Ovis aries: one gene and its partners. The protein of the gene in region 1 purifies or fractionates together with the protein of each later gene. This does not show direct contact. Links are inferred from orthologs where the notes say so. Each region holds a gene or a part of one and is shown in the gene's direction. Other genes may lie near its edges.

Region 1 (3,986 bases):
TCACCCTCTGTTGCCCCCTTCTCCTCCTGCTCTCAATCTTTTCCAGCAACAGAATCTTTTCTAATGAGTCGGCTCTTCACACCAGGTGACCAAACTGTTGGAGCTTCAGCTTCAGCATCAGTCTTTCCAATGAATATTCAGGTTGATTTCCTTTAGGATTGACTGGCTTGATCTGCTTGCTCTTCCATCTTTTTCTTGGCTGATACGTAAATAATTTTATTTCAACAATGGTATAAACAAGATTACACCATACACAATGTACAAATAAGCATTAAAAAGTATGAAAGTTTATTACTACAATATAACAATAGAATGGGGGCTGATATTGACAACATTTTTAACTTTCTTAACACTTTAACCAGGCTTCCCTGGTAGCTCAGAGGTTAAAGCGTCTGCCTCCAATGCGGGAGACCTGGGTTTGATCCCTGGGCTGGGAGTTCCCCTGGAGAAGGAAACAGCAACCCGCTCCAGTATTCTTGCCTGGAGAATCCCATGGTCGGAGGAGCCTGGTAGGCTACAGTCCACGGGGTCGCAAAGAGTCAGATACGACTGAACAACGTCACTTTCACGTTTTAACAAACGATAGTGTAGTCTCAGAAAAATGCCATAAAATTTCTTGTTCAATTTCACTTGGAATAAAAAGTCCAACCCCCCCCCCCCAAAAAAAAAAAAACCCCTTATTTCCTCCTTTCCCACTGGTGAAATCATTAACTGTGTCCTCGAAAACAGTTTTTATTCTGTTTGTGTTCCTCTGATGGTGGAGTTTTGTGCTATCAATGAAAACCTGGGATTCTACCGCGGGTCCTATGCACAGGTCTACGCTGCAAACAATAACTAAAGAAAGCCGAGAAAAAATAATGCTTTATAAAGAAGCAGCTGACGGCCAAAAGTAGTTCAATTATTGGACTTAGAACGCATCCATTAGCGCCCAAATCTCTGGCCAACCTAGGACACTAGCGCAGGTTTCGCAGTCCGTAGGCACCGCAGCGTTCCCAGAGCCAGCGGCCTCCCAGGGAGGGACTTCGGGAAGGGTCACTCCCCCTTTCTCCTTGGCCATTCGGGATCGAGGTATTGGATCAGCCCCCTCAGAGTCTACCAATAGTAAGCAAGAGGCGGGACCAATCACTCCTGCCCCTCTGCCAATCGAGGGCGAGGGGCGGGCCTGGGACTGCCGCCGGAAGCAGGGCCCTGGAGCGAGGAGGAGGGGCCCGCCTCTACGCTTCGGCCAATTGAAAGCAAAGGGTGGGTCCCAGGGCGTGTCCCGGAAGGCGGCGCGGGCTCAGGTGCGGAGGCTGGGCGGCCCGGCTGCGGCCTCCGGCGGCCGGCAGTATGGAGGACGTGAGTGCTCAGTGGCAGGTGGCGAGCCACCGGCCCGCATACCCCTCCTCTGATGCTGGGCGCCCTGGGCAGAGACGGGGTTGGGAACAGACTTGGCGGAGGGGATCCTTCTGCGCGCGGTTACCGGGCTGCGGTTTGTGGGAGGAGGCGCAGGGGCGCCGGCGGGGTCCGCGCCTTGCTGGCCCTGGGCTTATTTTCTCGTCACAGGAAGCAGGAGGGGCGCCCAGCCCTTGCGGTCGCGTGTCGGGTCCCAGAACTGGGGAGGCCAGCGATGCGCGCATGGCCTCGGGCGCAGGAGCGAGTCCACCTCCTCTTGGCCTCCGGCCTTGGCTCTGAGGGCAGATCTGTCGCTATCATCACACGGAAACCCGCATTGGAGACAAACAATATGATGTTTTAAATGGAGGCCTGGTAGGAGTGAAGGGATTTTTAAATCTTAAGTGGATCCAAACAGGATTATTAGAAGCCACTGCACTAGTTACAGTGTACAGAGTGCAGCGTAACTGTAAAAGTCTTTGCTTGAGGGTATTAAAACATTTTTAGGAAAAGCATGTATTTGTGCCCAGAATTAACTGGATTACCCATTGAATTACAAAATTCTTGCTCTTGAGAAAATGCAAAGTTAATAGTTATATTAAAGCACTGATTTAAGTTAATAAATTAATAGGCATATTACTGTGATCCTGCCGCTGAATGAGATGCATCACGCAAGACACTTGAAATACAATTCCAGCCCTACAGTACCTTAGATTCTTGTGCAAATAGTGACCATAGTTCAATTATCTTGACTAAATAAAGACCAAACAATTTCTAATGATAGGACTAAAACCCATGTTTTTTACACTATGAGAAAGTGGAAAGCTAACTGTAACACCTGAAAGTGGATTTGAGATTCATATATTTAAAGAAAAATTGATTGTTTTTGAATTTTTAAAGGGTGAGATTCATGAATTGAAAATATGTGGAGAAAATGAGTATCTAAATGGAAAATGAGACTCATAAAAATGTGTGCAGTAAATGCTTCTTGCTTGGTGCTAAGCTGCCTCCAGGTTCTTGGATCTGTAACTTTTAGCTTTAGGATTAGTACAATCCTAGAAATTTGTTTCACCAGAAGATTGGAGAGTAATGTTTCACCAATATCTACATAGCTAGGTTACTTTAGGTATGAACAATTGCCTACCTTTGGTATTTGTGGATATGATTTCTCCCACCCAAGAGAAAGCTAAAAACTATGTGCCATGTCCTAGGCCTAAATGAATTAAGAGACAAAAACTTTTTAGTTTGGGTTCTTTGTTTGCAAGCGGGCAAACCAATTTTGGCTACTTTAAGGAAGAAAGGGATTTATTTGAAAGGATATAGGGTAGATGAACACCTAATTCTCTGAAAGGATTCAAACCAGGGCTGCTTAAGGGATCCAGTGACAGGAGTCCTTTCAGAATCTCTTCTGGGATGGATCTATCTCAACCATGGCCTTTTGTTTGCTCTGTTACTCTAAGAGAGAGTTAGATTGGCCTAACCCTTTTTGGTTTCATGACCATCCTTAGACCAGAGGAAGGTGAAGAGCACTGAAGGATATTCCCCTTGAGATTGCAGAGGTAGACTTTGGGTCCCCAAAGGGGAAGTAATAATTGTGACAAAAAAGGGAGGAGATGATGTGGACAAACAACAGGTATCTTTTCCAGGTAGCAGTGTGATTATTTTAAGAGTCTTATTCCTTTCACCGTTCTCTTGCAGATGACAAGTTACAGAGAGAGACAGGATGCTGTTTGTATAGTTCTCCTACATTTCTTATAGGATCCAAAGGACAGTGTATTTGATATAGTCACCAAACACATTGTATTTCATGAACATTGAATAAGTGACAGAAACCATATTGTCCCCGACCCCTTCAGTGTAGTGAGGGAGAACAAAAGGCATACACATAAATGAAACAATACAAGTCAGCACATGAAATGCAATACCTTTCTTGGTTTTAAAGTAGAAAGAAAACACTTGGCAAGACAAGTTTTATAGAGGATGGAAATTCTGTTGGACCTTGAAAGATGAGTTGGATGCTGAAAAAGATAAGAGAGGGTATTTGTGGGCACTCCAAAAAGCTCATGCAGACCAGAGGAGAAAGTGCATGAAAGGGACCAAGAGAGAGATAAAGTAGACTGCTGTCTTACAGTCAGGGTTTCAGTGCTGTCTTTTAAAAAATTCCTAGATCCCAACTGTTCAAGAAGTTGGGCCATCTTTCATTCACTCTACACACATATTGAGCACCTGCTGTGTGTCAGGTACTAAAGGTACAAAGAATAAAGTATAATGTAGAGTCCTGCCCTGTGAAGCACACCTGTTCCAACCACTTTCATACCTTGTGCTTCTTTCTGCCTGGAAGAACAAAATATCTGTATATGAAGGGACATTGTTTTGAGATAATAGACATCAAGCAATGAACTAGAGTGATCTTTGAGAGATAGGAAACAACACGAGCTGTGTAATTGCCAGCTCACTGCCTAAAGAGAGTTTGTGGGCTATGGCAGAGGTAGGGGCACCAGGTGGGCTTCAGTAGGACCCTGAGTTGAGGAGGTGGAGCTGAATCTGGGGATACTGAAGCAACTTGGGTTCACCAGAGAACCCAGAGAGCAGAGCACTGTACAGAGGGAGAG
Region 2 (3,886 bases), on another chromosome or scaffold:
AGTGGGGTGCCATTGCCTTCTCCGGCAGTAAAAGCAGATGGGGGTTAATCTGACAGATTTGATGGGAAGATTGTGGACTTTGAAATGTTAACACCGATCTCTCCCCCCCATTTTTTATTTATGTATTTATTTATGACCTCGGGAGACGTGGGTTCAAGCCTTGGATCGGGAAGATCCCCTGGAGAAGAGAATGGCTACCCACTCCAGTATTCTTGCCTGGGAAATCCCATGGACAGAAGAGCCTGGTGGGACACAGTCCATGAGGTCGCGAAGAGTGGGACATGACTGAGCTACTAAACAGCATTAACAACATTTTTTTGGCTGTACCACATGGCTTGTGGGGGTCTTAGTTTCCTGACTAAGGGAAGCTACAATGTTTATTGCTAGCTTCTGTAATATTTGAATCTATTTGAGATTTTAAATGACTCCCTTAAACTGTCCATAGTTTTTAGAAATAATTTAGTATCCTATTTTTAGGCATCTGGTAATTGAAGTGACTTTGAAGTTGTTTTTTGTTTTTGGATGTGCGACAGTTTCTCGGAGTTTAGTTCCCCAACCAGCAATTAAACCCGCATCCTTGGCAGTGAAAGACTGGAGTCCTAACCACAGGACTGCCAGGGAATTACCTCCTGCTGTTTCCTTTAATTTTTTCTTTTTCATGATTAAAATACAGTGTATGCTTCTCAGTGTTATATGCCAACTTGGATGGGAAGTTGGGGGGAGAATGTGCTTCGCCGCCCAGTCGTGTCTGACTCTCTGCGACCCCATGGACTATAACCTGCCAGGCTCCTCTGTCCATGGGGATTCTCCAGGCAAGAATACTGGAGTGGGTTGCCACGCCCTCCTCCAGGGATCTTCCCAGCCCAGGGATCAAACCCAGGTCTCCCTCATTGCAGGCGGATTCTGTACGTCTAAGCCACCATGTATATGTATGGCTGAGTCCCTTCACTTAATCGGCTATTCCCCAATACAAAATGTATTTGGTGTTAAATAAATGAAAAATTTTAAAAATTTACAGTGTAGAAATAGAAAAGTACAGGAAATAACAGAACCACACATAAATCCATTACCTAGAACTAATGCTGTTTTTTCCATATTTGCCTCATTGTTTTATTTCAAGAAATAAAAAACCTTACCAGGTACTCTAGAGGTTTCCTTTGTACCCACTCCGCAGAGCCATTTTCCTCCTTGCCTCCCAAGAAGGGACCACTCTTGGGAGTTAGGAGTGTAGCCTTCTTGTCTATGTGTTTGTGTTTGACTAATATATATGTCAATATATGTTCAGACACAATACATCATTTTAAAAATGACAGTTTTATAATGTAACTCCGGTGTCTATGACTTGTTTTTGCACTCATTTGTTTTTAGAGGTCTGTCTATGTACAGCCAGTTCAGACATCTGTTCACTTAGTTAACAGTGAAAAATGGTTTTGGAGGAAACTGTTCTGGTTCATTGGTTTAAATTTTTTTTTCAATTTGGCATTTCACTATAGGCGTTATAATAACTGCACAGAAAGGCAGTAACTTATTGCTTTCGTATTCTGAGATGTTCCTAAAATGGAGTAGTCTCTAAATTCTGTCCAGGAAGAGGTTTCAAAAACTCATTTTAGTTACTTTCACTTACTTTGGGATTGTAGCACAAAAATAATCCTTGATTATCCCATCTCTCTTGTTTGTTTTGTCGCTAAGTCCTGTTGCCTCTGCCTTAGATATGTGTTTTCAATTTGCCTCTCTGCTCTCTTCTTGGGCTGCCCTGGTGGATCAGTGTGGTAATGAACCCGCCTGCCAGTGCAGGAGATGTGGGTTCAATCCCTGGGTCGGGAAGATCCCCTGGAGGAGGAAATGGCAACCCAGTCCAGAATTCTTGCCTGGGAAATCCCATGGACAGAAGGAACTGCCGGGCTACACTCCAGGGAGTCACAAAGAGTCAGCCATGACAGAGCACACACGCATGCTCTCTTACTGCCCCTCACTCTCTTGGTTTAGGCAACTCCTCCTCATCTCCCCTGCTTTTTTATACTTTTATTTATTTATTTATTTTTGTGCTGGATCTTTGTTGCTGTCACGCTTTTCTCTACTTGTGGTGACCAGTCGCTTCTCTCTAGTTGTGGTGTGCGGGCTTCTCATTGAGGTGGCTTCTTGTTGTGGAGCATGGACCATAGGACGCACGGGCGTCAGTAGTTGCAGCACGTGGGCTCTGGAGCACAGGCTCGATTGCTCTGCGGCATGTGGGACCTTCCCAGATCAGGGAGCCAGTCCATGTCTGCTGCATTGGCAGGTGGGTTCTTTACCACTGAGCCACCAGGGAGCCCTCATCTTTCCCCTTAACCAGGTCATTAGCCTACTAACTAGTTTACCTCTTAAATGACTTCGCTTAAAAAGTTTTCTGCTCTGCCTGACCTCTACAGTTTTGCTGTCTTCCTTAAATGACACGTTTGTTATTTCCAGCTTTAAAAACTGAAACTCACCTTCTATTGCTAACAAAACAATGCCCAACCTGTCCTTAGGTCATAGAACATGCTGCAAAGTGTGACCACCTGCAACTTATCTTTCCTTCCTAATCCCCATCACCCCTTTCCTCTTAACCCCTTGTTTTTAGCCACAGTGAATTTGTCGGTCCCTGAACAGGCCTTGTCTGTTGTCACTTCAGGAGTTGGGTGGGGCAGGCATACAGAAAAGGTGAAAGTCTATGTATTTATATGATCACTTTCCTCCTACCTTCTTGGAAATAGCTGTTGTTAAATCTTATCTTACAGGAGTTTTTACTGTTAATAATCGTGTGGCACTCAAGATTCCATTGAATGACATCTTTAGATGCAATAGTTTGTCAACCTTAGAAAAAAGTGATGTTGTCCAGCACTATTGGGATGTTCATGTACAAGCGTTTGTCCAGAATGGCACAGTGAGCACAACAGGTGAGACGTTTCTGTACTTGGGTCCTGACTTAAGATGAGAGTATACCAAGAAGCTTTAGTTGAAGTATCATCTGAAGCATTTATATGGTAATACTTACAGCTTCATTGCACTGTAACGTTTTTATAAATAACGGCAATCCTTATTCTGGTAGAGCTTGCACTTTGAGGTTTCTGATGGACATGTGGCGGAATGATTTTCTGAAATACCCTACCTCTGGTGCTCTCCGTGGATAAAACCTAATCTTGGTTGGAACAAATCCTCAAATAGCATTTGATCCTCAGTTTCTAAGCTTTTGAAGATCCCAGACAAAAGCTGAGAAATTGGATTTCTGTGTTCTAATCTTGACTTTTATAAATTGATTTGGTAACTTTTACATGACTTTATTGGAAATTCATTAATTTCTTAGCCACCAGTTCTGGAAAACGACCAACACTTCCTAAGAAGTTGAAATGCCTATGATTTGCTGTAGGGGCAACACAGATAAAAGGTTCATTTGTATTTAAATCCTTCAGTGATTTTTAAACTGTTGTTTTAGTTAAAAACACTTTTTTTTTTTTTAACGTAGGGGTGAACTGTTTTCAAACTTAAATCTCTGATTTTCATCTCAGAAGCAGGTGATAATTTGGGGGGGAATAAAGGGTATAAAAAGATGAGTGTGTGGCCACATGTGAGTAGATAAAGCATTTGTATGTGTCTGGAGCCCATCTGCTGTGTCATAACTTTTTAAAGATTGTCTGCATGTGAAGCAGCAGTTTGAGGACCTCCGCCTCATTTAGTTTAAAATACTAATAACACTTTCAAGACATTCCTTATCCCGAATATAATCCTTTTGGACTTATGTTTTGAGAAATATGTTGTTCTTCCCTGACCTTATGAGTTAAACAGTTTATTTTGTCCCTTGTATGTTTTAGAGTTTTTGTGTGATAAAGATAAAACTGTAACCACTGCCATGCCCATCGTTCCCACCACG
Region 3 (3,986 bases), on another chromosome or scaffold:
ATGTCCCGTTCAACCCCATCCATGTGAAAAGGTTTCCTTTGCTAGAAATCTCTTTATTGAAAATATTTGGGGGCCACTGAATATAGTTAAACAATGCAGTTTGAGTAGCCTGTGAGACATAGTCTGTTTATAACAGGACAATTTGACTAGAAATCAGAAAACCTGAGTTTTAATCCAGTCTCCTAAACTGTGTGACCTTGGACAAGTCATTTCCTCTTTTAGGATTTGTTTTCTTATCTGTGAAGAAAAGGGGACTAGGTTACATCAAGGATTCAGAGATGCGGATTTATGAAGCTTATTAATGGTCTTCATGAACTTCTTGGGATTGTGTACAAAATTCTATTTGTGTATGGACATTTTTCTGAGAGCCTTCAGCTCTCAATTTCTATTCATTCCTCCATAACAATTTCGGAAGCAAAGTTTAGATCCTGAAATATATGTAAATAATTCAATCTGGAGTTCTGGGGCAAAATAATGACTCTGCTTTCTTCCACATGTTCTGATCAGGTTTTATTTCTCCAATGATCTGAGGTAATTGGCTACTAGGGGCCAGACTGAATCAAAGCATCTCAATGGCCTTTGACCTGACTTCCTGGAGCAGTGAGTCCCTCCCCAAGTTCAGAGTCACAAAGATCTGAAGCCAGACTGGCTTCACCTATATCCTAGCGATGAGTGCCAAGCGGGCCTCTGTCTGATTCTGTGGAAAGCCCATCTACTCCTACTGTATGATATCCTCTTTTCCCTTACCCCTAAAATATCTCCCCACTGGTCTGAAATGTCTCCCCTGAGGATTCACTGCTTTGGTTTTGGAGACTGAACATCCTGTGCAACCCAACCCCTTTGAGAAGAGGCACAGCATCTCGATTCTAATCATCTAAAACCTGGAAGTGGACGGGTGGGAGGAGAGGGAAAAGCACTGGAAGGGGAAGTGAGAGAGCACCTTAAGCTCTGCTCAGGAAATGAGCAGTAGGCTAGACTGGGACCAACCTCAGGCACACAGGAAGTCCAAAGGGCTGGTACACCCTGTGCCCTACACCCCGAACAAGCCTTCTTTCAGGGAATAAGAGCCCGGGCCAAGGCTCAAATTCCACCCCTGGGCCACCCCTCGCCTCAATTCGGCACGGGCTCTGGCTCTAGGTCAAGCCTGACGGCACCCCCCGGCCCGAGGGGGCGCTCGCTCTCCCGGCCACGGTCCAGCCGAATTCAAGAGCCACCTTGGTACGTGGGTCTCCGTGACCAGAGGCAAAATCCACGCTCAGGGGTCTCTTTACCAGGACGAGGTCTTCAAACCCTTTCTGCAGGGCGAGGTCGCGCTACAGTCCCATGCTCCTCTTCCACCGCAGGATCGCGAACCTCCTACAGGAATTCCCTCCGGGATTCCTCCTCCCACCATCCCTGCCGCGCGCCTTTACCAAGATGGCGGCGAGCGCACTTCCGGCGTGTGTTCTTAAGGGTGCGTCCGGGTGGCTGCTGCAAGTGTCACCTAGAGGGTTCCAGCCTCTGTGCTGCATAGACTACAGCGGTGATGGCGGGCAGGCGGTTTGGCTGGAGCCGGGCGGCTCTTCTCCAGCTCATTCTTGGTGTGAACCTGATGGTGATGCCACCCACCCAGGCCCGGACTCTGCGTTTCGTTACCTTGGTAATGAGAAATGGGGTCGCCAAGGGCTGGCCAGTGCTAGGAGGGCACCGGCCTGCTGGTGGAGGGAGGGGCGGGGCTTTGCTGGGGTCTAGGGTCTGGAGGAGTGGGGAGACGACTGGCCTGCGGGGTTGGGGGCCAGGGTTCGCAGTTTTTGTGAAGCCCTGGGGTATTTAGGGTTGGGGGCAGGGTACACGGAGTTCTGTATTAGAGGATAGATTGGTGAGTCTGCCTTGGGAGTGGGATGTAGTTCAGTGATTTATAAGAGATTCACTTCTAAGGCAACCTTTGGTGATTTTTTTTCCAGTCCCCCCTCCCCCACAACACACCTGCATTGCTTTCATTTCTTTCCCTTTCCCTCCTGTACTTTCGGTTTTCCCAAGGTCTCCAGCGGCACTGCTTAACCAAGTTAAGAGTCTCTGGAGGCTGCAAGAAGTTAGTGACTTCTAGTTTGGGGTTTTTCGCCGTGGGTAGAGTTAAGGCTCTCAACATGGGGCAGAGGTTGGCTCTGTGTCCACACCAAGGGGACCCTCTGACCTCTGGGCTCACCACTTTCTTTCCTCAGCTGTACCGACATGGAGACCGCTCTCCAGTGAAGACATATCCCAAGGACCCCCATCAGGAAGACAAATGGCCCCAGGGCTTTGGTCAGCTAACCAAGGTGGGTCAGGAGCCAGCTCTCTCAGGATGAGCTGCAGAACTCACCAGACTGCTTTTCCCCATGTGGCTGCTGACTTTGGCCACATTTCTTCAGCTCACTTTCATCTGTGCCCAGATTAAAATGGGCACACACAATGCACACACAATCAACCCCTTAATAAACGACTTGTGGGATCAGATTAACCCATCTGCTTCCAACCGCAAGGTGGAAAGCAGCCGTGGCTAGCCCCTATTGTCCTCATGCGCCATCCCTCTCCCCCGGGGCCTCTTAACCCTTGGGTTTGCCCACAGGAGGGCATGCTGCAGCACTGGGAGCTGGGCCAGGCTCTGCGACAGCGCTACCGTGGCTTCCTCAACGCCTCTTACCACCGGCAGGAGGTAAGGCTGGGAACTCGAGAGGGAGGAGGGATCGGCTGTTCTCACCCTCTGCCCTCGGGGAGACTGCCGGTGACCCGGGCACTGTGGCCTTCCTCCGTGCGTCTCTGGTTACAGCTGCAGGATGAGGCGTCCACGGGCTGTCTGGAGCAAAACTCTGGAGGCTGAGTTGCCCCTGCTTGGCTTGGGAAGAAGCCAAACTGTTCAAGCATCCAAGCCCAGACCTAAGGGCCTCGCAGAGTAGTTTCCAACTCTGTGAAGTAACTCAGGCTTTCCATCCAAGTACTGTTACGGGCCAGGCACTGTGCTGGCACTGCGTGTAACAGTGCATCAGCCAGATCCAATCTGTGTCCCTCAGGTTGTTACTGTTTCCTTGAGGGCCGGCCCTATCCTGATCTTGCCCTTTCTAACTTCTTCCTCCCTTTTCACAGGCACTTATCTCTGTTCCTCATCTTGTTTCCTCTCCTGCTCTGTAAGCCAGTTATTAAGCAGTGTGTGTGTGTGTGCGTGTGTGTGTGTGTGTGTGTGTGTGTGAGATTAAAGACAGTTTCTGCCCCCAAGGACCCGGGCATCGATAAGGGAGACAGGTGTTGTAATAAACCAGGCAGGCTGGCAGACCCGAGAGCCTTGTTGAGTAAGCACTTTAGACTGGGAGGGGCATTTGACCTATAGCCATTCCCGCAGGAATTCTTTGTAGATGGGGGGACAGCAACCCCATCCGTCTAGGCTGGAAGATGGGTGGGGAAGGCCAGAGAAGGGGAGAAGGCCAGATGCCTGGTGGATTCACAATTTGCTGGGTGAACAGCAAGAACTGGGGCCCCACTGTGAGGCCACAGCTGCCCCCACTCCCCGACTCCCACAGGTGGGACTGATGTTGTCATCTCTGCAGGTTTATGTGCGAAGCACAGACTTTGACCGGACGCTTATGAGTGCGGAGGCCAACCTGGCTGGACTCTTCCCGCCCGACGGGATGCAGCGCTTTAACCCAAACATTTCTTGGCAGCCTATCCCCGTCCACACCGTGCCCATTGCCGAGGACAGGGTAAGCCTGGCCCGCCCTTCTCTCGAGGCGACGGCAGGCACGACTCTGGCCGTTGGCCTGCTGATCCCCGACTCCTTCTCTGCCTCTGCTTACCCCCGCTCTGGTCTGCAGCTGCTGAAGTTCCCCTTGGGCCCATGCCCCCGCTTTGAACAGCTGCAGAATGAGACCCGGCGGACGCCTGAGTATCAGAACGAGAGTATTCAGAATGCAGTGAGTGGGGCTGAGGTGGAGGGCACCACCCCGACCTTCAGCCCCGGGCAGGACTGACCCCCT

What was found.
Region 2: the proteins of TMEM192 (region 1) and LAMP2 purify together in Homo sapiens (affinity purification with western blotting; 5 studies listed by BioGRID and IntAct, with this or other methods). This does not show direct contact. The link is inferred for Ovis aries from reciprocal best matches to the Homo sapiens genes TMEM192 and LAMP2.
Region 3: the proteins of TMEM192 (region 1) and ACP2 purify together in Homo sapiens (affinity purification with mass spectrometry; 3 studies listed by BioGRID and IntAct, with this or other methods). This does not show direct contact. The link is inferred for Ovis aries from reciprocal best matches to the Homo sapiens genes TMEM192 and ACP2.

The regions. Positions count from the first base shown.
Region 1 is NC_056070.1:393,642-397,627, reverse strand, and holds the start of TMEM192 (transmembrane protein 192), read left to right. Parts: upstream 1-1,263; 5' UTR 1,264-1,329; coding exon 1,330-1,338; intron 1,339-3,986.
Region 2 is NC_056080.1:104,780,809-104,784,694, reverse strand, and holds part of LAMP2 (lysosome-associated membrane glycoprotein 2), read left to right. Parts: intron 1-2,756; coding exon 2,757-2,915; intron 2,916-3,827; coding exon 3,828-3,886. UniProt on the Homo sapiens protein: Lysosomal membrane glycoprotein which plays an important role in lysosome biogenesis, lysosomal pH regulation and autophagy.
Region 3 is NC_056068.1:76,049,807-76,053,792, reverse strand, and holds the start of ACP2 (lysosomal acid phosphatase), read left to right. Parts: upstream 1-1,502; 5' UTR 1,503-1,525; coding exon 1,526-1,639; intron 1,640-2,201; coding exon 2,202-2,297; intron 2,298-2,587; coding exon 2,588-2,674; intron 2,675-3,560; coding exon 3,561-3,713; intron 3,714-3,824; coding exon 3,825-3,923; intron 3,924-3,986.